Diceros bicornis minor: one gene and its partners. The main gene of each other region encodes a partner of the protein of the gene in region 3 in a complex. Links are inferred from orthologs where the notes say so. Each region holds a gene or a part of one and is shown on either strand. Other genes may lie near its edges. The genes, in order: F2R, plasma serine protease inhibitor-like, F2 and F2RL2.

The links.
Region 1: the proteins of F2 (region 3) and F2R are in contact, whole or in part, in a crystal structure (PDB 3LU9), measured with the Homo sapiens proteins. The link is inferred for Diceros bicornis minor from reciprocal best matches to the Homo sapiens genes F2 and F2R. Residues at the interface, in NP_000497.1 of Homo sapiens: Phe382, Arg383, Pro386, Gln387, Glu388, Leu389, Leu390, Cys391, His406, Cys407, Tyr410, Trp413, Lys415, Leu423, Arg425, Arg431, Thr432, Arg433, Tyr434, Ile441, Met443, Glu457, Asn458, Leu459, Asn506, Thr510, Lys517, Gly518, Gln519, Arg541; in NP_001983.2 of Homo sapiens: Ala33, Thr34, Asn35, Thr37, Leu38, Asp39, Pro40, Arg41, Ser42, Phe43, Leu44, Leu45, Arg46, Asn47, Pro48, Asp50, Lys51, Tyr52, Glu53, Pro54, Phe55, Trp56.
Region 2: the proteins of F2 (region 3) and plasma serine protease inhibitor-like are in contact, whole or in part, in a crystal structure (PDB 3B9F), measured with the Homo sapiens proteins. The link is inferred for Diceros bicornis minor from reciprocal best matches to the Homo sapiens genes F2 and SERPINA5. Residues at the interface, in NP_000497.1 of Homo sapiens: Arg383, Pro386, Glu388, Leu389, Leu390, Cys391, His406, Cys407, Tyr410, Pro412, Trp413, Asp414, Lys415, Trp455, Glu457, Asn458, Leu459, Asn506, Arg541, Ile542, Asp562, Ala563, Cys564, Glu565, Gly566, Asp567, Val588, Ser589, Trp590, Gly591; in NP_000615.3 of Homo sapiens: Gln241, Lys295, Lys296, Arg297, Thr368, Ile369, Phe370, Thr371, Phe372, Arg373, Ser374, Ala375, Arg376, Leu377, Asn378.
Region 4: the proteins of F2 (region 3) and F2RL2 are in contact, whole or in part, in a crystal structure (PDB 2PUX), measured with the Mus musculus proteins. The link is inferred for Diceros bicornis minor from reciprocal best matches to the Homo sapiens genes F2 and F2RL2. Residues at the interface, in NP_034298.1 of Mus musculus: Phe379, Gln384, Glu385, Leu386, Leu420, Arg422, Arg428, Thr429, Arg430, Tyr431, Arg433, Lys437, Ile438, Ser439, Met440, Lys467, Pro470; in NP_034300.3 of Mus musculus: Thr46, Phe47, Glu48, Glu49, Phe50, Pro51, Asp54, Ile55, Glu56.

Annotation. Positions count from the first base shown.
Region 1 is NC_080740.1:5,907,012-5,914,963, reverse strand, and holds the start of F2R (proteinase-activated receptor 1), read right to left. Parts: upstream 3,021-7,952; 5' UTR 2,887-3,020; coding exon 2,799-2,886; intron 2,615-2,798; exon of another isoform or gene 2,594-2,614; intron 2,497-2,593; exon of another isoform or gene 2,365-2,496; coding exon of another isoform or gene 2,343-2,364; intron 1-2,342. UniProt on the Homo sapiens protein: High affinity receptor that binds the activated thrombin, leading to calcium release from intracellular stores.
Region 2 is NC_080763.1:40,251,542-40,259,058, reverse strand, and holds the start of plasma serine protease inhibitor-like, read right to left. Parts: upstream 3,017-7,517; coding exon 2,398-3,016; intron 706-2,397; coding exon 435-705; intron 46-434; coding exon 1-45. UniProt on the Homo sapiens protein: Heparin-dependent serine protease inhibitor acting in body fluids and secretions. Inactivates serine proteases by binding irreversibly to their serine activation site. Involved in the regulation of intravascular and extravascular proteolytic activities.
Region 3 is NC_080770.1:23,574,907-23,582,339, forward strand, and holds the start of F2 (prothrombin), read right to left. Parts: upstream 3,016-7,433; 5' UTR 2,849-3,015; coding exon 2,770-2,848; intron 2,416-2,769; coding exon 2,252-2,415; intron 1,546-2,251; coding exon 1,521-1,545; intron 1,306-1,520; coding exon 1,255-1,305; intron 1-1,254. UniProt on the Homo sapiens protein: Thrombin, which cleaves bonds after Arg and Lys, converts fibrinogen to fibrin and activates factors V, VII, VIII, XIII, and, in complex with thrombomodulin, protein C. Functions in blood homeostasis, inflammation and wound healing.
Region 4 is NC_080740.1:5,827,866-5,833,558, forward strand, and holds F2RL2 (proteinase-activated receptor 3), read right to left. Parts: upstream 1,582-5,693; coding exon 511-1,581; 3' UTR 502-510; downstream 1-501. UniProt on the Homo sapiens protein: Receptor for activated thrombin coupled to G proteins that stimulate phosphoinositide hydrolysis.

The DNA of each region.
Region 1 (7,952 bases), on a different chromosome or scaffold from region 3:
AAACGAGGAGAGTGGGAAGACAAGGAACCCAGGGTGCTGGCGACCCCACTGTCTCGGCGGAACTCCGGCTCAGGGCTCAGCTGAGATCCAGTTTGTGAGGGTGACAAGGACAAAGGTGAATTGACTGGGGTAGGAGGAAGGGGGTAGAAAGGGCACAGGGAAGATGGCGGCCAGCACTTCGGAAAAGGAGCACGTTCAGAGCTGCTGAGACAATGCAAGTTAGGATTCATAGTACACTGATCCCTTCAGACACAGGGGCCAAGAAACGCTGAATCAGACAGACGAGGGGAGGGGTGGAAAGGCAACCAGCAGAGACGACAAGAGAATATTCCTGAGAAAGGCCGAGAATGCCCCCCCAAATGTCCTCACACACAGATTAGGAGATAAAAATAGAGCCAAAGCCACTAAGGAATGAATGGGAGAGAGAGAGAGAGAAGAAAGAAAGAAAGGGAGGGATGGAGGAGGAATGAGATAGATATTGGAATAGAAAATTACTTGCTGGTTCATAAGAAATTTGACTTGCAGAGGTTTCTGGTTGGCTTCAAGCAGAATGATTGCCTGGTTTTGTGCCTTTTGTTTGGGCTTAAGACCACCGTCTCTCAGTAACAGCCACTTAATTAGCATATTCAAGACAGGGATCTATTTATGGCCAGCCTCACTGGTCTGTTTTCAAAAGTAAATGGCAGGATACCACGATCCATGCATAAATGTTTACTGAACACCTCCATGTGCTAGGCCTGGGCTACGGAGCCAGCGGGGCACAGACTCTGCCTTCTAGGGGTACCAGAGAGCACAGAGGGGCTGCGGGACTGGATGGCTTCCTCTCGACAGGGGGAGGTAGAGAAAGCTCGCACTTAGGAAAGACAGGCCTGTGGTCAAATCCCAGCTCCACTTCTAACCAGACTTGTGACTTAACCATGCCGGGACTCGGTTTCCTTACCTGTAGAATGGGGATGACACCTGCTCAAAGGGTTGTTATGAGGAATAAATAAGGTGGGATATGTAATGTACCTAAGCAGGGGGTTGTCGGTAGTAGGTTCTTGATATAAGTGACTGTTTTTAGTTAAATGTGAAAACGTGGGGCGTGGGGAAGACATTCAGGCCAGAGGGAGTGGGAGGGGGGAGGACAAAAGCCAGAGAAAGCATAGCTCCCTGGGGGAGGACCTAGAGGGTGGGGTTGGGTGAAGTACAGGTAATGCAATAGGTTATGTAATAGGAGAGGATCTGTAATAAGAGAGGCTGGTCAGAGGGTGGGGACTCATTCCATGCTAAAGAACTGGGCTTGAGCCTGTGGGCAGGAGGGCAGCATGTGGAATCTCCCACCCAGTCCCCTCTGCCACATCACCATGGGCTATTCTTGAACCCTTTCATCCTCCAGATTCTTACAAAATTTATAAACATCACCTTCTGGTCACTGGCCCTCTGACGAAGGCAAGTGATCTCACTTAAATGGCCTGGAAAAGGAACGTAAACTGGTTAATGAACTTACCAACGTCTCAGTAAACATCTGCTGAGTGAACATCTGTTCTAGACTCCATGTTTCCCCCTACACCCCAGAGACGATGCTCACGTTATCCACAGGCAGGCCGGCTAGTTGCTGCAAAACTGTGGGCCCCTATCTGGGGCTCTTCATTTTCCCAAAAGCGTCACCTCAAAACTCACCCTGAGCCAAGATGGAGAGCAGAGAAAATGCTGTCTTTGTCACCTCCTAATCTTGATGCATCTATACCGCTTCCAGTGTGAAAACAAGATAGAGTTCACAATGTTTCACAGATAGTAAGAAAACCGGCTAGAATCTGTTTCTGCACAAAAAAATGTGGCTAAAAGCTTATAAAGTACTATCATTACAAAGAAATTAAAATTTTTTTCTAACTTTATAGGCTAAAAACAGCTTCTCTGCCCTGCTTTTGGGGGGGGGGGGCATGTTGGAGAATACGTTTATTTGGTCAGGTAGCCAGATACTGGAAACTACACTGTCAGTGGGACACAGACTCCAGGCGACCTACCTCCTCCTGCAGCAGATGCGAAACTGAAATCCTGAAATCCCATAGGGTCGGAGGGAGCCGGGTCCTGGGGAGGGGATCTCTTTCTCAACTCACTAGGAAGACTGGGTGCTAGATAAACAAACGAAACCTCCCAACAACCGCCCGCGCCCGGTGGCTCTCCTGTTATCACGCTCTGTCCCGCCCCGCGAGCCCCTCGCGTGCACAAGGCCCGTGCCCGGGGCTGCGGGTACTGATTCTCCACCAAACGTGCCCAGGGACTGGCTGGGCTTTTCTCTACACACTCTCCTCGCCTGTACAATGCGCCAGGAAAACAATTCCAACAAAACAAAACTTCACCGGGAGCGGTTCTCCAGTCCATATTGAAAAGACCGGAACGTTTATCGGCGGAGCAAAGTAGACCCTTTCTTCTTGGGGTGGTCCTGGGAGAACCAGGCCACACAGCGGCAACAAATGCAACGAGGAATGCAGGCTTCCCCAGGCTCCTCCGTATCCAACACCCTGTGGCAGGCCGGCTGCATCCTCCAAAACCGAGCGCCGAGGGGCCTCGGCTAAGCCGCGAAGGGGGCGGGTGGGAGGGGCACGCCCACCTGGATACGACTGGGGAGACTCGGGTCTCAGCCCAAACGCCTGTGTGGCTCCTGGAGGAAACTGAGGCAGAGGGGGCAGTCAGGGGCACCCCCAGCGACGAGAAGGCGCAACCTGCATCCACTCAGCGCCCCGCAGCGTCCCTCCTCCTCCCGCCGCCCCATCCCGGGGCGCCCCGGCTGGGAGCGAAGCCCGGGGCAGTCTCACCTGGCCTGCGGCCCCGGGTGCCGGCCGACAGCAGGGGGCCGCACAGACTCAGGCCCGCGGCCACGAGCAGCAGCCGCCGCGGCCCCATTGTCCGAGGCTCGGCGCGCTCGGCGCGGCGCTGCTCCCGAGACTGTGCCGCCGCCGGGAGCGCGGGCCCGGGCTCCCTCCTGCTCCCGCGGGGCCAGCCGGCGGGGCGGGCAGGGCGCTCGCCGCACGCAGGAAGGTGGCTGGCGGGTCTGGCTGCGCTCCGCCGGGCGCCGCGCGCGGGGCTGGGCGCGGGGCCGGGCGCGGGCGGGGCGCCGGCGGGCGGGAGGGGCGGGGCGCCGGCGGCGCGGGCCGGGAAGGGCGCCCCCGGCGCCGAGTGTGCGCCTTGCGGCCCGCCGCCCCCTCCCCGCAGCCCCCTCTCCCCTGGTCCCGCCCCGCCGCTCGGATGCCCCGGGCCTCGGCCACTTGGCACCCCCTGCCGCGCGGTGCGCCGCCGCTCCGCCCTGGCTGCCGGCCCCTGTCCGGCGGGGGAAGCCGAACGAGACATTCTTCCTCTGGGCGCCCTGGACGAAGCTCGCAGTGACTCAGGCTGGCGGGGCTTTGGAACAGGGCTGGGCGGCCCGGGCGGCTGCTCCCTCGACCTCTCCGTATCCTCCCGGGAGCACAGACGGTAGCGGTGACCGTCTGATCAGGGTGCGCCCGGGCGCCCGCGCCTGGCCCCCGGCCGAGACCTCCCTGCCCCGGCGGCCCATTTGGAAATTCGGGATTTAGCTAAAAGTTTGAAAGTGACTTGTGTCTCTGCAACTAGGGAGAGTGGATTAAAAAGTTTATACTGTAGTGACAAGGTTGCCCCCTAATGAGAAGGGGTCCTACATTTGGACAGAATTCTAGACATTTCTTATTCGTTTCTCTTTATTTCGCCAAGTTAGACATTTCGTCCGTCGGACACTCGCTATTTTACCGACACGCTGCCTGTGAGTGGGACGAACGACCCGCCTCCCAAGAGCAGCTTCTCCGCCCCCCGCTCGGGCGCGGCTGTCCCTTTTCCCCTCTGACAATAGCTCCCAGCCGAGGGCCGTGGGAATCACCCGCGGCCTTTCGCGGGAGACGGGCCGGCTGGGCTGTCCCTGTGCCCGGGCTGCGACAGGGGTGCCCGGAGGGCGGGGGGCCCTGGTGACTCTTAGGGGCCCTCACACTCTCTCGGACGGTAGTGCGTGAGTTTAACAGTATTTGGCCAAATTCAAGTCACAGGGCGGGGGACACCGAGCTGCTCGCTGGGGGCCCCTACAGGACGTCGCGCCCGGGGCTGGGCCAGGAGGAGCACGCAGCCTGTCCTGCTTGCAGAGCGTATCTGGTGGCCGCGTCCTTTAGACCACAAAGGAAGTGGGTCCGCTCAACCGGCCGTTTCCGGGAAAGTGTACCGCAGCCCCTCTCCCCACAGATGTGCGGGCGTGTTCTGCGCCCTGCGGCTGATAAACTTCGGTGGAGAGTTACTGGTCCAGGGCTCTCAGCTTTTTAAAAAGGGAATTTCGCATGGAGATTGGCACTGACACTTAAACCGGCGGAGAAAATACAGCAGACTATCTCGTTCTTCCCTGCATTCCGTCATCCTCAGGGCTCAGGCCTTTTCGTTTATAGAAGTTTCTCAATAAATTACTGACTAACCCAATTATATAACGCTATTTAAAAATTTTCTCTATTCATTTCTCCAAGGAAAACATAGCCAAGAGTAACGTGAACCACTACAATTATATATTTCTCCACTCGCTATTAACTTATACTATTTTTCATCAATCCTAAACACCATTGATTTTGACTCATCATTTTAATTTATGTACCACAAGCAAGGAAAAAATACTGCCAATTAAACTGTGACATACTACTGATTGTAAGAAACATCTCAGTTTCAGAGTTGTTTAAACATGAAAGGGCATCTTAGAATCAATGAAATACGGTGTAAAATATAAAAGTAATCAATACACATGGCAAGAAATTCTAATAGTTCAAGGATATAAAGTGAAAAGTAAAAGTCTCTTCAGCCTCCCCTTCTAAGAACCATGTCTCCATGGCGGCTGCAGTTAAAAGTTTCTGTCTGCCTCCGCTGTTCAAGAAGTTGTATCCACATACAAGTATTCATGTATGTGTATACTTAAAATAAGAATGGAATAATACTATGACTGCTTTTAAGTTGTAACTATTACATTGGTGGAAAATGTTTTTAACCATTTTACAAAACTGTAGAATTTAAAAGGATGCTTTTTTTTGCTTACTTATTAGAACAGAATGTACCTCTGGTGACAAAAAGAGAGCCACTGGAACAAAAGCTTAAATTCTTTGTGCCTGTTAAGTAGAGGAAAGTATCCCTTTGAGTATGCTTTATCTAGGCTGAAATACAGTGAACAAGGTGGGAGAGTGGAACACAGTGAGGTATTTCTTTCTCACTTTAGTGTTTTCTAAAGATTGTGGGTTGCTAATTGAGCGGCCACCAAAAGTTAAACCTACCTTCAGAACCAGTGGTTTTAACTTTTGTCACACACAAGTGCAGATGCCCAGACCCCCCTCCCAGACCTGGGAAATCAAATTCTACATTTTGCCCCCCAGGCAATGGTGATGTCTGAGGGTTCCCAGAACAAAGTTTAGAGAAACATTATTCTAAGACAGTGGTTCTCAAACTTTAGCATGGATCAGAATCATCTGGAAGACACAGTGCTGGGCCCCATCTCCAGAGTTTCTGATTCAGTAGGTCTGGAGTGTGGTCTGAAAATCTGCATTTTTAGCAAGTTCCCAGGTGATGCACGGGCTGAAGCTGCTCTGTGTGTGTGTGTGTGTGTGTGTGTGTGTGTGTGTGTGTGTGAGAGAGAGAGAGAGAGAGAGAGAGAGACAGACACACTTTGAAAACTACTGCTTTGAGAGAGAAAAAGAACTGAACAGGATTTCATATAGTTTGTGAGACTTTCTTTAAATTACACAATATTTCAAGCATAGAGAAGTACAGAGCCTAATATCACACCCGTGGGCCTACAATGAGGCGTGAACATATACATGTAAATACATACACGTCTTACAGTGGTGAAGCTTTTCTGGTACCCTTTTCTGATTCTAGTCTTTTTTTTTTTTTTTTTAGTGAGGATGATTAGCCCTGAGCTAACATCCAATGCCAATCCTCCTCTTTTTGCTGAGGAGATTGGCCCTGGGCTAACATCCGTGCCCATCTTCCTCTACTTTACATGGGACGCTGCCACAGCATGGCTTGATAAGCGGTGCATTGATGCGTGCCGGGGATCTGAACCTGCGAACCTTCAGGCTGCCGAAGCAGAGAGCATGCACTTAACTGCTACGCCACTGGGCCGGCCCCTGATTCTACTCTTTTTCCTGCCCAGAAAAGGAACTTTCTCATCCATGTTTTTATACTTTTAGTACATCTGTGTTTCCAAAAAAAATTAGTTTTGATTTGAATGTTTTAAATATTTACACAGAGTAACATACTCTAGGAATACTTGCTCAGTTTGCATTTTTCTAGATTTACTTGATTGATACGTGTCTAATTCTTTCTTTTTAAACTCGTCATAGTATTCTCTTGTATGTATATACTGAATTTTATTCTTCTAAAGCTATCTGTTTTATCTGCAGTTTTGTCCCCACTTTTATGCCTAAAATAGCATATTTTTGCTTTTTTTTCTTGATGAATCGGGCCAGAGGTTGGAAATAACCATTTTCCAATGCCCATCTTTTTTTTGTTGTTGGTTTTATTGTTTATTTTCAATGTCATTAATTTTCACATAGACTTTTTTTCCCTTTCTTTGGATTTACTCTTTATTCTCCTAACCTTTTGAACTGATTGCTTAGCTTGTTAATTTTCATTCCTTCTCCTCAAATCACCACTTCAGCTGCATTTTGCAAGTTTTGATATGTACATATATGCAATTCAGGGCTAAATATTTTGTCAGTTTCATTATATCTGCTCCATCTCATCAGTTGTTAGAAGTTTTGACTGGCTTTTTGTGATTGATTTCTCATTTTGTGTTATGGTCTGTTGGCGATGTTCTCTTGTCTGTTTTTTCCTCACACTCTACAAAGTTCCTATACCACTTGTGTGCTCTTTAGAGCTTCTTGAAAAAGATATGAATCTCTCTGCTTCATTTGTTCCATGTCACCTGTACCAAAACTCCTTGACTGGCAGTTTTAGAGCAAATGTGTGTAGGTTTCCCAGAGTAGAAAATCTTCCTAACCAGAGAGGGCTACCTAACAGGTCGATATTCCTCAGAAATGATGCCTCAACATTGCAGCATCATTCATGCTGGGACCAGTTGATACTGGTTCCCAGTTTTTATTTTCTCTGTTTGAACTTGCCTGGCACCAAATAGTATGAGTCATTAGCTATCCTCTCACAGTGTTTGTGGTATTTAGTAGTGCTTTATAAAAACGTGACATCAAAATGGTGCACATTTTAATCCCAAAATGATATGAAAGCAGTTTCTCTTAAGTCCATTAGGTGATCTACCTGTTTCGGGCATTCAGGTTGCCACTCCTCTTGGGAAGCCCTCCAAGACAACCGTGTATCCCAGGAACTAGCTCAGGAATTCCCTTTTGGAAGCTAACGGTGGTGATACCAGGGCTCACACGGAAGGAAAGCAAATTGTATTCAAGTTAGGAGTGAGATACTCCAGATTCTGTGCAGACACCTCCACATCTGTTTTTCAAGAGAACAAGTCTGTAATCAAGTTACAAGCTAATCAGCAGGAAGCCTGTTTCTGCCTTTTGCTTTTTGTTGTTTCAAATCAGCACTGGTATTTTGGGTTTAGAAGTAAAGTTAATCTCTCATAATGGGTCAACAAATGTATTTCCACTAATTATACCATGGATAGAATGGTAGACTCTCCCTATGCTTGAGGTACTAACAAAGTGTCAAATTCAATATCTGTTAAAAAGAAAACAACAATAAAAACTGTTGTTGCAGTTATATAAGGTGAACTCAATATCTTTTACTTCTGGTCATCTCCCTTCTGTATTAGTCACGGTTCTCCAGGAAAACAGAACCAACAGGACATATTATAGATATAGATACAAGGGGAGATTTATTGTAGGAATTGGCTCATGAGGTTATGGGGGCTGAGAAGTCCCATAATCTATTGTCTGTAAACTGGAGAACCAGGAAGGCTAGTGGTCTAA
Region 2 (7,517 bases), on a different chromosome or scaffold from region 3:
TAGGAGCCCTCAATGGAGAACTTTGGAAGGTAAAGCTCTAACTGCCTGGAAAGAGAGGAGGGCCTTTCTTAGACTCTTCTAGAGCATCGGCACACTGAGCTCATATTCCTTCTATCTCTCCTTGGCTTCATAATGATCCTCCAGCCCCTTGCCTAGAGTGGAGCCCATCCTACCCTGGACTTGGACCTACGCTGTCCCCAGAGGTCACTGCCCATTCTGATGGCACCACCAGGAAACTTGGTCATGTCTTCCAGCCCTGCTCCGTCCAGCAGGGCCAGGCCTGGGGTCTGGGACTTCACATGATGCCTCTGGGCTTGGAGGCAGCTCCTGGGCTGGATGAGTCCTTCCCACCACTGCTGTGTGGCCCTAGGGAGACATGTGTCTCTCTGGGGGTGTGTAGGGTTAGGCTGGCCCCGGGGTAGTCTGAAGAATACCTCTTTATGAACATCTTGAGCCACTTCCTCAGGATTTTCTTGTTCAGTCCGTTCTCCACCTGCCCCATCCTGCCCTCGCTGGGGAGAATGAACAAGGCTGTGGCATTCCCTTGGTAGGGGATCCCCACCACCCTGCAGGAGAGGTTTCGATCCAGGAGGTAGTAATACTGCTCCTCGTGTCTCATCATGGGCACCCGCACCACCATCTCCGAGGTCACATGGAAGTCCTGCTCTTGGGTGCTTTTGTGGTCAAAGCTTGTCTCCCACTTAGCTGAAGATTAAAATGGAAAAGAAATGAGAACTTCTCAGCTGCAAATGACAAGTGTGGAGACAGTAAACCTATTAAGCAGAGATCATCCTCTTTGGAGCAGTCTGGCTGCTGGCAGTGACTGGAGAACACTGTGACCAGGAAGGCAAGCCCCTTATAACTTTGGGGCACACTGGAACTGTTTACGGGGCTTTTCCATCCACATTTGCAAAACAAGAAGGCTGGTTTTCAAGTTTTTAGAGGCCCTTAACCTCTAATGTTTGTTTGAGGCTCTGATGTTACTTGAGGTCAAATATCCAAGTAAAGAGGATAAAAATACGGATGGCTGACAAAGCTACACTGTATCTGGGTGACTTACTCTGTTTTTCACTCTTTTCCCAACATTGGATTTGGTCTAGGTTTGGAGGAGAGCTTTGTAAGGTTCCTGGAAATACATGATTTTTCTTGCTAGGAAGTCTTCAGTTACACTTCCTGCTCTGTCTGCTTCCTACGGGACTTTTTGATCAAAGCGATACAAGTAATTGTTTCCATCTTCTTAATAGCTATCAAATATGGACCCCCTCCCAATACCTCACTTAGCTGATTTCACAGCTGTCCTCTGCAGCCTGGTGTAATGGAGAGAGCCCTGGGCTATGGGACAGGAAATCTTAGAATCCAAGCTTGATATTCACCATCTGTGACCAGGAAGTGGGGGAGGTGGCTAACAATTTCACTATTTTCCTCCTTCCTTCCTCTTTCTCTCTCCTTCCCCCCTCCCCCTCCTGCCCCTGTCCCTCCCCCTCCCCCTCCCCTCCTCTACCTTCCCCTCCTCTCCCCTCCCCTCCTTCTCCCTCCCCTTCCATCCCTTCCCTTCTCCCTCTCTCCTCCCCCTTTCATCCCCTTCCATCCCCTCCCCCTTCCTTGCCCCCCTCCCATCTCCCCTTCCATCACCTCCTCTCTCCTCTCTCGCTGCCTCCTTCCCCTTTCATCCCCTTTTCCCCACCCCCTCTCCCTGTTCATCCCCTCCCCTCCCCTTCCCTCTCCTCTCCTCCTCTCTTCATCCACTCTGCTTTCCTCTTCTTCCCATCCTCAGCCAGACCCCACACAGGGCGCTGAGGGGTTCAGCATCTAGAAGGAGAAGTTGACTTGGGAGCTGGAGATGAGTAGAGATATTTACATGAAACCCCAGGGAGATAAAGATGGAGATGGGTTCTTGAGGAGGGGAGAGGAGGCTATTCAGAGGAACAGGCTCTCATCCCTGGATTTCTCGGCCTAGGAAACAGCCCCTAGGAGGGTATGGGGGAGAGGGTCTGAGGCCCAGGGGAGCAGCTGAGAAATGCCCTTGAAAGCCCATCGAAGGCCGACAGTCCTGGCCTGAGTAGCTGTGGTGTTGGTTTCTTTGGCACCTTGGCCATGAGGAACTCATGCTTCAGAACCTGAGTGGATGCTGTGGCTTCAGGTGTCCCCAGGGTCCCGAAGACAGGACTCAGCCCTTCCCCAGTGGAGGAAACAGCAACCCTGGGGTCATAAGCATCTCCTTACCCAGTGAGAAGGCGCCGTCTTATCACGGCTGATTGTTGGCCTCACTGTTATCAACAGGCACCAGAAAGGACTGAATTTACTCCTCCTCCTCCATGTGTGCGAGAATTGGGTATTCTTTTGACAAAAGCAGTTGGAAGGAGAGAGGAAGTTCAGGCTCGAGCCCAAGGGTCTTACCTTTAAAGAAAATGTAATTCACCATAACCATAATCTCAGTGCTGTCCAGGTCCTTAACCAAGTCTGCAATCTTGCCTTTAGTTTCCTTTGCCACGTAATCATTGATCTGCTTCTGGGCCCCTACGGGGTCCCCAAAGTTCGTGGGGATAGTGTCTGCCAGGTACAGTGTCCTCATGGCATTCAGGAAGGTGTCCTGGATGTGCACCGTGGGGTTGATGAAGAGGGCATTGCCAAGGCTCAGCTGGAGGCCTTCTTTGGGCCGGCTGAGCTCCTGTAGCAACTGCTGGAATGCACTGTGGAGCTCTTCCTCCGGGCCCCCCTGGAGGTTGAGACCCAGGCCCTGCAGGATCTGTGCCTTTGTGTTGGACCGAGCCCCAAGGGAGATCATGGCCAGCGTCATGGAGATGCTCAGAGGAGAGAAGAAGATGTTCTGGTTGGGGGCAGCTGCAGCCAAGGCCCTGTAGAGGTCGAAGGCAAAGTCTCCGGTGTGGGGGGCCACCGTGGTAACTACAGGTGGCAGCTCCTTGCCTCTCTTCTTTGTCTCACGGGAGCGGTGGCGGTGGAGGGTGGCCACCAGCGGGCTGAGGAGCACCAGGCACAAGAGGAGGTTGAGCTGCATTGTGGCGGCCCCTTGTTCTGAAATGGAGAGTGGGAAGATGTGCTCAGAGAGGGTGTGGGGCCAGCGTGTCTGCCCAGAGAGAAGATCAGGAGGAAGCGTGTAAGACCGATGTTCCAGAGAGATTTCACGGCTCAAAATGCAGCATCAGAGGGAAAAGACGACCAGTGAAGCTGGGAGTGAGGGCTTAAGGAGGGCAGAAGGGGCTGCAGGATGAGGTTTGGGGACATGGATATCTAACGGTGGGGAGAGGAAGGAGAAGGCAGAGGGGAGCAGATCCAAGGCAGGGACTGGCCACCAGGGCAAGAATCCTCCCCTCTCACCCACATCAAGGTACACGTGACAGGGGATGGGACATGGAGCTGGGAGGTTCTCCATGTTCTGCCTGGTCAGCATCTCTGTGGTTACTGGATTAGCAGCCTGCTTCCACGTGTGGCTCTAACCCTCGCTTTGGTCCTCAAGTGCAGCATTTGGCAAGGCCTGGTGGGCTTTCTGAGAACTCAGACCAACTACCCGCTGTGGACCCCCAGCACTGCTGGATTTGCCCTTGTTCACTCAGCAAATATATATTGAGCATCTGCTACAAGGCAGGCAGGGTGCTAGGCTCCTGAGAGACGGTCCCTTCTCCTTCTCCCAGGGACGGCTCCAGGACCCTGCAAGGCCACCGTTGTCCCTCATCAGAGGCACCTTCTCTTCCTGAGGAAATTCTGCCCTCTTAACGTGTGCACCTCCACTTCTCTCCTCTTCTGTGATGGGCTGAATTGTGTCCCCAATTCAAATGTTGAAGCCCTAACCCCAGTACCTTGGAATGTGACTATATCTGGAAATAGGGTCTTTAAAGAGGTAGTTAGGCTAAAATGAGGTCATATGGATGGGCCCTAAGCCAATACGACTGGTGTCCTTATAAGAAGAGGAGATCAGGGCACAGGCAGACACAGAGGGAAGACGTGTGAGGACACAGGGAGGAGAAGGTGGCCATCTGCAAGCCAAGGAGGGAGGTCTCAGAAGAAACGAGCCCTGCTGACACCTTCATCTCAGACTTCCAGCCTCCAGAAGGGAGAGGCGATAAATGTCTGTTGCTTGAGCCCCTGGACAGTGGTGCTCTGTCACAGCGGCCCGAGTGCGCTAAGACATCTCTCCTTTCCCTCCCCCAGACAAGAGCCCTCGCCTTCTTTCTCTCTACATCTCTCAGGTGGGGTCTTCCATCATTCCGGCCTCGTCCTCCACCTTCAGTCCCTCCTCCTCTTCCTCCCTCATGTCCATCTACCCAGACCCCTCCTCTCCAACCGGAAACCTTTCCTGCACCCAGGCCTCCCAAAGACCTCCTTCCACCCGCTGTGACTAGCCCAGACTGCAGCCCAGCCGCCTGGGTTCAAATCTCGGCCCTGCTACTCACTCCAAGTGTGATTTGGGGCAAGTCAGTTACACCCCGTCCTCTGTCCCCTACCTGTTCAACGGAGGTAACACAGTGCCTGCACTGGGGGTGAGGGGGGAGTGGAGACTTTAAGGAGTCAATGTAGGTAAAGTGCTTGGAACGGCGCCTGGTGCAGACCTGGTGCTGTGGAAGCAGGAGCTGTCGGTGTGGCAGTGTCTGGCCAGGGCCCACTTGTCCCCCCATTTGAGCACCCCATTTCCTCAGCCGTACAGTGGGGTACGTGCTTTCACACACTCGTTCTCATGGGAGCCCAGTGTTGGCCGGGTAACTAACTCCAAGGCTGCCGATGGCCTGAGTTCTGATGAAAGCTCTTGCTCAGATCTTCCCCTCCAGCTGAGCGTTCTCCCCCATGGACACAATGTCATCAGGTCTCCCAGCCCCAGCGTGAGCACGGCCACGGAGTCACGTGACCCAGGCAAAACCAAACTCCAAAGGGCTGCAAACAGCTGCATTGTACATTGCTTGCAGAGTGGCCCATGGTGGGGGAGGGAGGGAGGGACATGACATGCCAATGAGCTTGGGAGTCAGGGGACCTGGGCTGCAATCCTGCCTGTGAGCGAAATCGAGGGACTCGAGCAGGTCGCACTCACCGCCCCTGGCCTCCAAACTGCACCTGAGCTCACAAAGGAGGCTCCTTTAGAATGTTCTGTCTGCAGAACCTCTGGCTACCCAGCACTGAATACAGCAGCCTCAGCAATCACCGTGCCCGTGGGAGGCCCAGGCGCATCGCCGGCGCCCGCTGGGAGGTGCTGTGCTGTCTTGACACATATCAACTCCTTTAGCCTCACGCCCCCCGACGGAGGCAGGTTCTATTACTAGCTCCATTTCACAGATGAGTAATCTGAGGCTCAGAGAGGTCGAGTCACATGCTAATAGTGGCGAAGCTTGGGCTCAGACCCGGTTCTGCCCTCAATGCCCACACTCTAAACCGCTGTACCATCAGTTTCCCCAGATCCCTAGTCTTGCTCTTCTGGGTCTCGGCCTCCCAATCTTGTATTCCCTGCCTCAGCAGCTGCCACTCATAGCCCTTAACCTGCAGATAATGAAGAAACCCTGTCTGGCTTCCCATGCTTTTTGTTTTTTGAACAAAAACTCCCTTTTTGTTCCCACCTTGAGAGTTGCCTTCCTGGAGGTCTTTCAAGGACGTGGGTGGGTGGGGGACTCTCTATGTCCTTTCAACTAGTCTGTTTTACAGCACACTGTGGTCCCTCCCCCAAAGTGTTAGCACCATCAGATAATTCCCTTAAAAGGAACCCTTTCAAAGAACAGCTACAGAGGCAGAGGGAGTTTCCTGTGTGGACGGAGCCCAGAGGCAGCTGACTGGGGTGCAGGAGGGAGGGTTCTGGCTCCCAGCCTCCCATCCATGCAGCCCTCCTGGTGACCTTGGGGCAGGCCCTTCCCCTCTCAGGCCTCTGTTTCTTCACAAACAACTGGAGGTCTGTCACATGTTCTGTCCAGTAACCTTCCCCCCTGCCACTGTCCCCACCCCCTTGAACCCCAGAGATCTGACAGGCCAGAGCCACTTCTCCAAGTGCCACTGAGTCTCCAGGATAGCAGGGTCTCCTTGGAGAGAGCTGCAGCTTCACTCAGGGTCCCCTGGGCTGCAGGCTGGGGACCAAGAAGTCTTGCTCCATTTGGGCTCACTCTCTCTCTCTCATTACTATTTATTAAGGACCTATTATACATTCTATAAATATTACTACATTTCAGCTTTACCGAAAGCAAGCAGGCCTCCAGGAAGGCAACTCTCAAGGTTCAGTCCGTTTTACAGCTGAATAAACTGAGGCTTAGTAAAACGGAATAGCTTGTCCTAGCCAGTGAGTGATGGAAGCAGGATTAAAATCCAGATTCCTCGGACTGATGTAGTGCTGCCTCTTTGGTCCCTTTTACGGCCCTGAGGAATGACCTTGTTCCTCCTCCCCTGTAGCTCCTGCTACATATCCCTGGGTCTCTCCCAGGCTGGTCACCTGTATTAGCTCGTTTACACTCCTCCACAGCAACATGGAGTTGGTATCGTTATCATAACTGTACAGAAGAGGAAACAGAGAGTCAGAGACGTCACTTCTGAGAAAGTGGAGGCCTTGGGGTGCTCATTTCAGGTTTCCTAGTTTCAAAGCTCAGGCTTTGCCAGCACACTCCTGGGCCTCTGGTGGACACACACAGATTTGACAGAGTTTTGTGCCAACTTTGAGCCGGCGTGAGTCTGCTTCAGGCACTTAGGAGACCAGCCCCACTGCGTGGTGGCAGAGCCTGGCCTGGCTGACCCTCTCCTGGGGTGTTTCTGCAGAGATGCCCCCACATGTCAGAGGGAAGAGAGCAGATCTATCAAGCCCATCTGGCACCCCAGGGCAAAGAGACCTGAGGAGGCAGGAGGTGGGCAGGCCCTGGGCAGCCCTCCCACTGATCCTCAACATCCACAGACCCAAAATCTGCTGACGTTTATTCTAAACATTAAGCAACAGAGTCCCAGCGGGTCGACTTTGGACTCAGTTGTGAGAGGCGCACAGCTGAGGAGGGTCTGTCCACTCTCTGCTCATTACAAGAGGAGATGTCAGTCTAGGGGCCCAGGCAGAGAGGAAAAGACAAAAACCACAACTTCCCCAGATCCTAAAGACGTTGGGGGCAGAGCTTCCTGGGATCAGTGACCTACGAAACTTTCTTAACCTCCCTTCCCATCTCCAGACCATCGGCGGGACTTGTTGGTTTCCAGCTCTAAAATATGTCTTCAATCTGCCTGCCTCTCCCCATTTTCCCTGCCACCATCCTGATGGAAGCCCCTTCTGTCTTTCTCCTGGACCACCCCATTGCTCCTCCTGCCCCTGAGAACCATTTTACATCCAGCGTCTGGAAGAATCTCTGTGATACACAAACATGGTCATGGTGCTCCCCTTCCTAAGAACGTGATTCCGCTCATTCCTTTGAGATAAAATCTAACTGATTTGTGCGATAACCGAGGCTCCATGTGGTCTGGCTCTGTCTGGCTCTCACCAGCCTCATCCTGACCTGCTCCGCCCTCAATCAGGTGTGTCCTCTGAGCACACTCCTTTTTTCAATTCCTCCAACACAGTC
Region 3 (7,433 bases):
TCACTGAGTGTCCACCATGTGATAGACACTGTGCCAGGTACTAAGGACACAACAATGAATAAGACAGTCACAGTCAATAAGACAGTCATAGGTCCCTGCCCTCATGGAGCTTATATTCGGTGGCTCCTCATGGCGAGCAGGATGATAAAATGAACAAGCTCCTTCTAATCCGTCCCTGGTCTATCTGTCCTGTTATCTTAGCTCCTCATGCCTCCTCCTCCTCCAGGCCCTTTGCACATGCTGTTTCCTTTGCCTGGAATGCTCTCCTGTTTATTCATCAGCACATTCTACAAATCCAGGTAAAACTCTACTTCTTCTGGGCAGCTGTCCCTGATCCTGCCAGCAAACTAAACGCCCCTCCTCCTGGCACTCTCTTGGCCCCTGGAACAGAACTTTGCCAGCCATCACTTTGATGTTTTGTCATTTTGTTTTCCTATGAGATTGTGAGCTCCTTGATTCTCTTAAACCCCCAGAACTTGACACAGTGCCTGGCACATAGCAGGGACTTAGTGAAATGTCTATTGAATAAGTTATTTAACAAGTGAAAGTATGGCCAGTGATCAACGAGTTGCCTGTAGTGGGGCCTGTTGTCATACTAAAGGTGTGTTCAGGACGCTGTGGAGGAGGGAGGGGGCTCCCTGAAGGCTCAGCAAGGTGGTGGCATTTGAACTAGTCCATGCAGGACAGGGAGGTTTTCAGTAAGTGGTGATGGTTGCTCAAGGGGATGATGACAAATTAAGCAAGGGCCAGGCAGTAGAAACATCTTGGCATGTTTAGAGAAATGTTGGCTATCAGAGTAGCTCAGGCTCTGTGTTCATGGTTGGTGCAACAGGAGGGAAGGCTAGAAGGGGAGGTTAAGGTTAGGCTGCCAAGTTCACCAGCCTAAGCAGCCTGTGCTTTATTCTGGGGGCAATGGGGAGCCACTCAAGGTTTTGGAGAACGAAAGTGATGTCATGGGAGCTCTGCCCTGGGGGCATGGGGAAGACTAACTGGCGTGGGCAGGAGCTCATGAGAATGAGGCCTTAATGTTAATTCATTATCCATTTACTTCTTCCTTCAACATTAATCATCTTAGTGACCAGCAGGTACAGAGCCAGGGGCAAAGACACAACCTCGACGGCAGGAACAGCAAGGCAAAGTCAGATGCTAGGGGCCACCGCTGCTGGGCCACAGCCCCTAACCGACCCCTACTCTGCTCTTCTCCCAGACTGCCCCTCTCATATCCTGGCCCCCACCCTCATGCCAGTTCCTCACCTTCCAGACACTCAACGAGATCTTCTCGAGGTATCCTCACCGACTCACAAGCTGGAAAAGACCCAGAAACACCTTTGGGATTGTGGTAGGGACAGGATGGGCTTGAGTAAAAGGAGGGTGGGACGACATTCAGAAACAGAGTAGGATAGATGGATGGAAGGAAGGAGGAAAAGAGATTGGGTGGATAGGTGAGTGATAGGACAGACCAGAAGATTCTCTAACTGGGGTCCCCAGGATTCCTGGAGCACACCCTTCCCAGGGCTCACCTGTGTACTTGGTCCAGAACGCATCCTGAAAAACAAGGGCTGGCATGAGGCTGTGGCAGGATCCCGTTTGGTTTTGTTGTTTAGTAAACTTTATGTCTCCTCCTTATTCTTCCCTCTTTTCCTTACCCCGGTCACGCAAGGGGCAGGCTCTGGGGACGTTTGTGGCACAGTTTCCTACTTTTGCTCCAAAAACCCAGCTCGTTCAGAAGAGTATTTGAAGGGGGGGGGGCTCCCTCAACCAAAACGGACAGGGATTCCCCTGGGTGCGGAAGACTGGCGGAGAGGGGAGTGTGGGGCCCAGGCAGAGCCCCGCGGAAGGGAAAGGCTGCACAGGGTCCGTGGAACGCTAAGGCCTTGGCCCAGGGCTCCCAGCCTACCACACGCCCACCTCCCACAGGCGGCACAGGAGTATCGGAAAAGCTGAGGCCGAGAGGCCAAGTGGGCCAGGGGCCCCAGGGACCCCAGTGTAGACAGATGTCTGAAGACTAAGGAGGCCCCGTGACGTCCTGGAGCCTCATTGGTCCCTGGGACCTTGACACAGCCCAGGCACTGGGTCCCCCCCAAGAAAGGCTGAGGTTGCTCATCTTGGCAGCCCAGTGAAATGGGGCTCAGAGACGAAATCAAGTTGTCAACAGTTTAGGAGCTGTGATGTTGGCTCCTCTCATCTGTGGCCCTAGAGGTGGGCCCACATCGGGGGAGCCCCGGCCTCCCTCCGAGCAGCCCAGCCTCACCGTGGCGCTGGAGGACTCCAGGGCCTCTGAGGCCTCCTCGCGGCTGCACTGCTCCTCTATGCACTCCCGCTCCAGGTTGCCCTTGCGCACCTCCTCCAGGAAGCCACTGTTGGCGCGTCGGACCCGCTGGAGCAGCGACAGTGCTTGCTGAGGGGCCAGGAACACTGCAGTAGGAGGGGTGTGGGACAGCGGCCTCAGGGGGTCAGGCCATCTTGGCCACCGTGGGGGCAGGAAGCAAGCCTGGCCTGCCCTGCTGGCTTCTGAAAGGGGATGTCTAGGATGGCAGCAGGACTCAGGAAGCTGCTAAGGGTAGCCCACTAGCTCCCCTCCATTCACTGGTCACCCCCAGCCCACTCCCCAATTGTAAGAGAGAAGCAGTCACTGTCTGTCCGGCCCTGAGCACCCGGCTCCTTCCCTAAGCTAGATACCTTGGGCTGACCCATCTAGGGGCCGGCCCTGTGTTCTCCACGGGTGGAATCCTGGTCTGTCAGTCTGTGCGGGATTCCGAGCCCCCTTACCATGCTGGCTGTGCACAAGGCTAAACAGGGCAGCCACAGCCAGGCAGCCAGGTAGCCACAGGCCTCGGACGTGCGCCATAGTGTGTGGGCTGCTGGGACTCTGAGAGTTCGTCCTGACCCCTCTGGGTTAATGTTGAACTAACATGAAGAAATCAGCCTAGAGGCAGAGGTCAGCAGGTCAGGGCCGTGGGGACAAGTGGATAGATAGTCCACCCCCACCATCTGGGGGTACAGGTCCTCCTGCGACCAGGGATGGATGGTCTGGGAGGAAGTCACAAAGGAAAATCAGTGTAACTACTATCGTCCTGCCCCTCCTTCCCTAAGACATGGGTCAACTTGGACCAGTTCCTGAGGCCCCTTCCAATTCCAACACATGATGATGGTTGCTTTAATCTCTGTGTGCCTCAGTTTCCTCATCGGTACAGTGGGAATAGTACTTTGCTATGAGGACTAGAGGAGATTAGGAATGTAAGCCCATGAAACACAGTGAGGGCTTAATAATCAGAAGATACACGGATATAAACCAACCGGGAGGTTCGTGTAATCATAACACATAGATAGAAGAGAATAGAGACAAGGGCATCGCCAGATTAGAGCTGCCCACCTTGCCCCATGACACACTGGGGGCAGGGACGGCCAACATTTACCCCAGCCTCTCAGCCCCTGACGGAGGGTCCCATTTCCCCTCTTTCCCATCTGGGAAGCTGTGGAGGTGTGTTTGTGTGTAGTGTTCCCCGGGAGGAGGAACCAGGTCCAGGGCTTCCTGGGCCTCTGGTCATCCCAGGACTGCTGCCCTCCCCAGAACAGGGGCAGCCCAAATCCCGGGGTCTCCGCGGCAGGGACCCCCTTTCCCTGCACCCGTCTGCCCTGGGCCGGGCCTAGAGAGGCTGCTGTCTTACACTGCCCTCGGCCAGCCCTGCTCCCGTCCCTCCTCCACTTCCTGTTTACAGGACGCAAGGTAAATATTAGTCCTAGTCTAGTTAGGACAGAGGGACAAAGAACAGGAACACAGGGAGCTCAGGCTCTTGCCTCGCCATCCTTTAGGCCTGGCCGTTCGGCATCTGGACTGCGGTCGTGTACAGTCTGAGATCGCAGGGAGGGGCCTGGTGCAGAGCAGGGAAGAGAGAAGGCTGGCAGAGAACGGGGGACCAAGAATCAGCTTAATTCCTGGGTGGCCCAGTTCCTATACTTACATATATTTATATTTATATTACATATTCCTATTTTTCTATATATATATTTTTTAAATTGAGGTTTAATTTATATACAATAATGTTAAAACAAATCCTAAGTGTTTAACTCAAATTTTTATGCATACACCCATGTAACCACCACCAGATCACGAGAGAGAACATTTCCAGCCCCAATAGGCCCTAGGATAACCGCTATGCTAACTATAGATAGTTTTGCCTACTTCTGAACTTCATATAAATGGAAACCTACGGCATATACCTGTTTGTGTCTGGCTTCTCTCGCTCAGCATGTTCCTGAGATTCATCCATGTTATGTTCCTTTGAAGCTGCATAGTATCTCACGGCATGAATAGAGCACATTTTCTTTATCCATCCACCTGTTGATGGGCATTTGGATTAGTTTCCAGTTTGGGCTATAATGAGTAATGTTGCTATGAATATTCGTGCACAAGTCTCTGGGTGTAGATGAGCACTTATTTCTGTTGGGTTACACGCCCAGGATTTGCTGGGTCATAAGGCAGGCATGTTTTGCTGAAGTCGCTGAGACAGTTGTCCCAAGTGGCTGTACTAGTTTACGCTCCCACCAGCCATGTTGGAGAGTCCCGGTTGCTCACGTCCCCCCCAGCCCTCTATATCGTCCATCCATTTCACATCAACCATCCTGATGGATGTGCAGGTGTGTCTCACTGAGGTTTTAATTTGTATTCCCTGTTGACTAATGACACTGAGCCTACTCTTTTTTGGGGAGGGAAGGAAGTGGAATGGTACAAAGATCTCACCTCACTAATTTCTTAAAAAGTTACATCTTGAGTAAGGGAAGGGGGTAGGGCTCCTGAAAAGGGGAGAGAAGAGAGGTGTGGCTTCATCCTTCCTGCCTCGAGGCAGGTGACCCTCCCTTTCCTGGGGACCAGGTTGGGCCAGTGCTGACTCAACCTGGAAAGGGAGAAGAGGTGAGAGGGGGTGTCAGCAGGGGGAGAGATCACCTAACACACGGCACCTCTTCTACTGAGGAACAAGGGGCCTGCTGACTGCTCCCTGTTCCCCCGCTGTCAGGACCCCCCAGTCATGACAGACAAGCACCACGCGCAGACATGGCTGTTAACGAGCAAGTCTTGGGCTATGTCTTCCTCAAGCTGTTTGCAGACAATGTTCCAAAGCAGAAAACTTCAGTTCTCTGAACACAGAGAGGACGAGATTTGGTTATACGGGTTCCTGCTTTCCCAGACTTACTCCTGGATTTATGTGTCAGGTGATGAATTTACACACCACAATAGTACTGCCAGGGGGAGAACTTTGCTGATGAGAAATTCATTTTGAATATGGTCCTGACATCTTGTCCACGGCAAATGCTGGAGCCAACCCAAATGGCCCCCAGTTTGTCATCCACACGGTTAAGACTGACGGGCTGGATGGCAAGCACTGGCTCTCTGGCAAGGAGAGAGATGGCATGAATATTGTGGAAGCCACGGGGCATGCTGGGTCCAGGAATGGCAAGACCAGTCAGAAGACTCTGGGCCCTTCTGACGAACTTGCTCTTGTGTTTATCTTATACCCAACCACTCCTTTTGCCCCTGAGGAGAGCGCCCCCAGCTCTCACACCCTGTAACCTCTGTGTTCTCTCCTGCTGCAGTTCTTGTATTTCATATATCTCGTCTCCCTTCAGGTCTAGTTGGATTCAGAGTTAAGTTTATCGTTGTGAAACAAAAACGAAACTACCCTCAGAACATACTATAATGTTCGTCAAGTATCACAATGCCTGCCACACAGTAAGCACTCAGTAAACAGCAGTTATATGCTATTTTGCAACAGGCAACACACAATGCTGCCTATAAAGAGTTTTTCCTAAAATGATGAATCTGGATCTAATCAACCTCTAACTTTATTTATTTTGGTGAGGAAGAGTGGCCCTGAGCTAACATCTGTTGCCAATCTTCCTCTTTTTGCCTGAGGAAGACTGTCGCTGAACTAACAGCTGTGCCAATCTTCTTCTATTTTGTATGTGGGACGTCACCACAGCATGGCTTGATGAGCGGTGTGTAGGTCCGTGCCCGGGATCTGAACCTGTGAACCCCAGGCCATGGAAGTGGAGCGCACGAACTTAACCACTATGCCACTGGGCCGGCCTCTCAGCCTCTAACTTTAATTACTAGTCTGCAGGAAATACAGATGATAAAGGAATAAGTTAGACACCACAAGGAATGAGCAACATTTTTCAGGACAAATGACCCCAGTTTCTCTGACAAATTCATGACATAGAATAAAAGGGGTGGGTGGGAAAGACTGTCCAGAATAATAGAAACCTAAGAGAGACCTAACAACCAAATGCACCAGGGAAACAGAATTACCATGATTGGTTTAGACTTTCGAAGAAATCAATTGTAAAAAGACTCTTTTTGGACAAGCAAGAAAATTTAAATATAGATTAGGTTCTCATTCAAATGAAAGAATTATTGTTCATTTGATAAGTATTATATGACACATGGTTATATTTTTTATATAAGTTATAGTTTTATATAACTTATGAGTTATAGATTATACTGAAGAACTTACAACAAACATGAAACAAGCACGGCAAAATGCTAACAATCATTAAATCTAGGTGGCTAGGGGATTGTTATATTATCCCTTTTAATTTTTTGTGTTTGAAAAATTTCACAATGAAAAGTAAACTTAATTCCTTAATAAATGGAGGCTAGCAGTAAGTGGATTCTAGTTAGACAGCCTTCACACGTTCTTGGGTGAACAGAAGACCACATCCACCCTCTCTACTTTGCAGAGAGCAGTGCTGCCCACCTGCGGAATGCAGCCTTGTGCTCGGAGAGACGTGGAGATGGGAGTGCACATACGAGTCCTTTCCCACGCAGTTTCTAGGACGGCTGTGAGAGTCCACAGGGATTCACAAGTTCTCTTCAAGTAGTGAATGTTTCACGATGATCTAGGGAGAGCAGAGATCTAGGGAGAGCATCCCCTTTGTGAGTGGCTCTGGAAGGATCCAAAAGTTCTGCCAGACCAGGGTGGCACCACCACGGGTACAGAAATCCAATGGACCCAGCACACCCCTAGTCTTCAGGGTCCACCAGAAGAGCCCCAGCCTCCAAGAACTGTTCTCCTTGGAACTCTCTGGGCCCAGTGAGTATCATGCAGCTGAGCCTGTCATTCCTGCTTCTCACCACAAACACGTACCTGCACACTTAAAGCAGATCATATTTGCCTCTAAGAACAAGGCCATATTGAGGGGTTGCATTTCTGCCCAACAAGCTGGCATCAAACAAAATCGTGGGCAAGACCAATGCTACGCTGTAAAGCGAAGCTCTATAATCACTGAAAACAGTAAAATTATCTTCTAAGCGAGAATTTCAGAAGTGGAAGCAAGATCAAATATTGTTAAATCTGGACACTTCAAAGCCTGGGGCTCTGTGCATGTACTACAGGGTGGTCTTACCTTTTTGCATATTAAAAAAAACCTCAAAA
Region 4 (5,693 bases), on a different chromosome or scaffold from region 3:
AGCTGGCAGTGAAGAGAATGATTGGAACGCAATGGTGGGCCTAGGACAACGGACCCTGGTGAGAGACTTACAGAGATAGAATCAGCTGATGAGGCAGCCACCAGAGTGAGATTCGGACGAAGAGAAGAATCAAAAATGACACCAGATACTGAAAAATGAGATCTTAGCTTCTCCCCATGCTGTGACTTTGTCCCTTATCCCACCCTTCCCTTCAAGTCATCTAGAGTAGAAACCTCAGAGAAGTAGGGAAGATGGACTTTTAAAGAGCTTGAAGTACCAGTCAGGCGAATGTGTCAGTTGCTATAAGGAAAGTGATGATATCTTTTCTTCTGCATTGACATTCTTAAAATACTGATAAAGTGTGTAAAAAAACTAGTGCTATTGTAATGTTTTATTTTGAACCACTATTTCTTAGGCACTCAAAAATGGAGCTGGAGAATAGAACTCCTTGCACTTATTATGCATGTTATCCCAAGAATGTATGTTTTTACGGATAGCTTTCCTTATTCTCTAAGATAATTTCACCATTGTAAGGTAAACAGTGGAATGATCTGTGATTTTTGACATGAGAAAATATAGGAATGGATCTAGGCAACTATTCAGGCTACCAAGGCACAAAGCTATGAGATAGATCAAGTATAAGCCATCGATGTTGTTGTAGTAGTAGTTAGTGTGGTGAATAATAAGTATAACATTACTTGGAGCAAAGCAAATGGTAAAAATCATAAGAATGAGGAGACTCGTCTTGACATACCACAACCATCTATGATCATATGCATTAAGTGTCCGAATGATGGCTGTGTAGCAGTAGATAATGACCACAAATGGAATTAAGAATCCAAAGAATGCCAAGGAGATGAAATAGTAGAGTTGGAAGGGAGCTGAGGATTCACATGTATTGTGGACATCATGGCAGGTGGTGATATCTGGATGGACAAGATAATACTCCTGCTTTAAGATGAAAAATGGCAGCATGTATAAGAAAACCGTTGCCCACACCAGTCCACACGTTAGCAAGGCGTAGGTGCGCTTGGGCAGTCCCCGATAAGTGAAAGGGTGGACAATGGCTAGGTAGCGGCTGATGCTGATACAGGCAAGGAGCAGAATGGAGCAGTACATGTTGCCATAGAAGATGACTGTGGTGGCCTGGCACATGACCGCTCCAAATACCCAGTTGTTCCCATTGAGATGGTAAGCTATCTTAAAGGGCAGTGTGACACAAAAGAGGAAATCTGCAACGGCCAGGTTGGTGTAGAAGATAGTCATACAGACGGACCTAGTCCTGAAGAAGAGCATCCACAGGGTCACCGCATTGGCTGGCACACCTACTACAAACACCAGGATGTAGATGGCAGGTATCAGTTTGGTACTTAAGGAGCTGCTCAGGTACCCTATGGTAGCGTTATTCACGTGGAGATTTGAAACACTTTCTTCGGGGCACTTAATTTTTACAGTTGTGGTGGTTCCTGTCCAGCCTTCTATGGCAGAAAGGGGAAACTCTTCAAAATAATTTGGGGGAGCTCCGCGGTAGGTCTTAATAGGTAAGATTGGCTTTGCCAAGTTGTCTGCATCATTTTCCATGCCTGTAATTGAAAAGAAGTATTAATATATGGTTTGTTGCTGAGCCATATCTGTGGTTCAGGAGACAATAAAACTAAAGGTCTTATGCTACGTTAATTTCTGTAGTTGTAGAATTTAGGGTCATTTTTATTTTGAAAAGTTGTTATAGATCAGGTAATCAACAGGAATGCATTTAGTATATAAAAACTACGTGACAACTCCTTACATGTAGCAGGTTTATAATACTGTTGGAGGAAACAAAAATAGCACATCAGACCACTATACGCTAATGTCATATTGATTACAAGCTGTATAGGCGTTCAGACGATAGTTAACAGATTTAGATGTTTGAGCAAAATGTCAAGGAAAAGATAAACATGAGCAAACATGAGCAAAGTTCATAAAGAGATAGAATTTAATCGATGAATGAGATTCTGTTGGTGATATATTAGCAAAGGCATAGTGTGGGCTGGCGTGAAATCTGGGAATGTCAGATAAGTTAGTTCAACAAATGTTTGTTGCATACATATATGCCAGTGGTATATAGTTTTAAATAAACTCCATCCCTGTCTTCAACTCTCAGGCTGGTGGAGAAGATGCACAACAACACATTGTCTTATGCTAATAAGGCGCATTCATCATAGGAGATGAATTTGAAAGAGTAGGTTACAGTCAAATCTCTGAAGGGCCTCTAAACTGCACTGAGAAATCAGGTGCCCATTCATGGATGCTGGGGTTCTACACATGCAAATTTGTGAACAGAGGGATGGCGTTGTGGTAGACAGCATGATGGCCCCCCAAAGATTCCATCTGCTAATGCCTGGAACCTGTGACTATGTTACTTTGTATGGCAAAAGGGACTTTGCAGATTGATTAAGGACCTTGAGATGGGATGGATATCCTGGATGGGCTGACTGGGCTGAATATAATCACAAGATTTCTTATAAGAGGGAGGCAAGAGAGTCCAAGTCAGAGATACTTGAAGATGCTATGCTGCTGGCTTTGAAGATGAGAGAAGGAGCCATGAACCAAGGAATGTAAGCATTTCTAGAAGCGGAAAAAAGCAAGAAAACTGATTCTTCCCTAGAGCCCCCAGAATGAACACAGCCCTGCTGACACCTTGATTTTACTACTTGTAACCTCCAGAAATGTAAGATAATAAATCGGTGTTGTTTTAAGCCACTGTTTGTGGTAATTGGTTACAGTGGCAATAGGAAACTAATATAACCGTGACTTGACTTGTGTTTAAGATGACTTTGGTGAGAGTGTAGAGAATAGACTGAAAAGGTAAGAAATTAGAGGCAAGGGGGCCTGATTTGGGGGCCACTCAAGATGGAGAGTTGCCGAAGTAGAGCGACGGCAGTGGAAAGGTGACGATGCACACATGAGACTCTGTGATGGAGGCTCCAAGGGGCTGGCATCTGATTGGTGATGGCAGCAGAGAGGGAGAGGGAGGAGCTAAAAGTGCCTTGGAGGTTTCTAGTCTAGATGACTTGCAGGGGGGTGGGACAAGGGGCAGCACAGGGAGAAGCTAAGACCTCGGTTGTTAGCATTAACTAAATTTGAGTTGCTGGTGGGATATTGGTGTGTTAAATGTCCCGTGACAGGTTAGAAGCCTTAGGCATTGAGTCCAAAATTCCAGGAGCCCAGATGAGAGGTGGGATGTTTCAGTGTGCAGAGAGGCTGTAGTTTAATTTAGTGCAAGTGGTGGGGGTGGCCTGGGGAGAGAGAAGAAGAAAGAATCGAAAGGCAGACTTTAGGGGAAATGTCAGATTTTAAGGGGAGAGGAGACAAAGGAAGAAAAATGAGAAGATGAAATCAATATGATGATTTTTAGGAACTTGGAAATAAAAAAACAAACTCAGCAACTACATACTATATGTATTTGGCATTACTTGGCATGTTGATGTTAATGATCCTAATTCTTGAAAGAAAACTTCAAAAACAGAATAACCCTTAATACTCAAATCTCTTTCTCATTATATATTTTTCCATAAATTAATCTTTGACATATATAGAAAGTAGGTTCTCTTAAGTTTCTAAAGTTACCTGAAGATGGATTTTTAGGTTGAATGTGCGCCTCATACTTATCAACTTCAAATGCCATTGCTCTGCCAGTTACGTCTTCTCGCGTGACGTCAGCATTCCTACGTGTTAGTTAAAGTACTAAGACTTTAGTAACCTGCTTCTCGTTCAAAGCCAGTCTCTCTTCCTGCTTTCTTCTCTAGCAGCTCGCTCCCAGGTGAAATTGAAACCTCCTCATAGCCATGAGATTGCACAAACTGTATTCAGTGTCTAAAACAGAGGGAGGGTGTTGCCCGAACAAGCAGGGACGGGGGGTGCTCAGGTGTCATTTAAGAGCAGATAAATTAAAGAGAAGGAAAGAAAAATCTGGGAAGTGGCGTTCTTCTGTGCCTGTGTTTAGATGTGAACCGTGAAGGCGTGTGTGTGACACTTGAGTTCAGCCACACAAATCCTTCTGCTCACTTGTGCATTTTGGAAATTCCTGCATCTGACAACAGCCCGAAGAAGTGCCTTTACCGAAAGGCGAAAGCTGGAAAGGGTGGCTGAAGAACATGCTGCACAAGTTACTTCCCTTCCGGATCTGATAAGAGAGCTGTTGAAACCAAGTGTTTGTCAGTTTTCAGAAAATTCCTCTGATTGAGCAAGGCATCATGCCTAAAAACATGCCAAACAGTGACTTTGTTTGTGAAAAAGTCTTAATTCCATTTTCCATGAGAATTCTGGATCTGGTTCAGCTTGAATAAGTCTTTTATTCCTTAGAGACTGGTTTTCCTTAAGAATAGTACTCATTGTTAAATTTAAATTTAAAAAAAAATTTATTTGAATTCTTTATACAGGTTTCCATTTGGCATAATGTTTCTGAAATGTTTCAAGGCCTTGGAGAGGGGCTGATCCAATGGAAACGGACGTCAGCCTCTAGACAATGGGTCCTTCCCTCACGTTTCTCCCCCATCCCATCCAAGAAAGCAAATGCACTGCCTTTTACTTTGTCGCCTTTAAATTCCACTCTTCACTTCCGCCAAATCCCATCAGCATCTTGAAGGAACCACCTCCACAAACCTCTTTTCTTTCATTACTCTGCTGCATTTGGGTTCATCCATTCCTAGATAGAGTGCTCAGTTATCTGATTCGTAACCCGCATGTGTGCTCCCACTCTCCTACACCCGCCTCGGCCATTCCAACTGTCAATGTAAGCAGCATCCCTTTACCGCAGTTTGATTTTTGTTTCATTTTATTTCCCCCTTGTTGTTGCCCCTCACCGGCTCTCCTGCTCCTGACAGTGTGGCCTGGACTGTGACCTAATGGTGAAAGCATTGTGGATACAGATCTATCGGAAGTTTATTAATTTGGAAGCAAGCAGGAGATTACAGGCTAACATCGTGTTGAGTGAAAGAGAAAACACATTAAGAGTTGAATAATAGTATTTGGGAGATTTCGTTTATAAAATTAAAAAATCATATATGAGGGTGGGGAGAACTCCCTGGTACCACTGAAAGTCAAAAAAGGTATTTCGTTAAGAAGCATTAATTTATTAGTGTCGCTGATTACTGAGAGCAGACCACTCAGTCTTTCTGGGAGTATTCTTGTTTCCCCCATTTGTACCTCACCAGAAGGTATAAACAAGATTTTTTTTAATCTCTTGCAAAAGTGCTATCTTTGCTGAATCAGAGGAAATACTTAGAAAATCAAAAACTTCTCACAAAGAAAACTGATCCTTAATTGTAGAGATCTAAAACCTTGGCTGTGCCACACATTCTTAAATGTAAGCAGAGGACACAGTCTTTGAAGAGGTTTGAGCCAAGTGAACCAAGTTACGCTGTTCGCTTCTGTGATGCCGCCTTTTAATAACTAAGATCAAACGCTGTCTTTGGGTTGCAGTTTGTGTGAGATGCCAAGGAAATTAGATTCAGTTGACTCTTGTAATACAAACCAGCACCCCCACCCCACCCCACCCCACCCCGTATGAAAAGAGCTTACCGCTTTGACAGTGAGTGAGTGACAGAAGCATCACTCCAGCAGCTGCCAGGATGAGGGCTTTCATCTTGATGACCTGGGTCCCGCTTCCCAGATGTCATCAAATGTGTAAAATCGGGGAGCACGGTTTCACC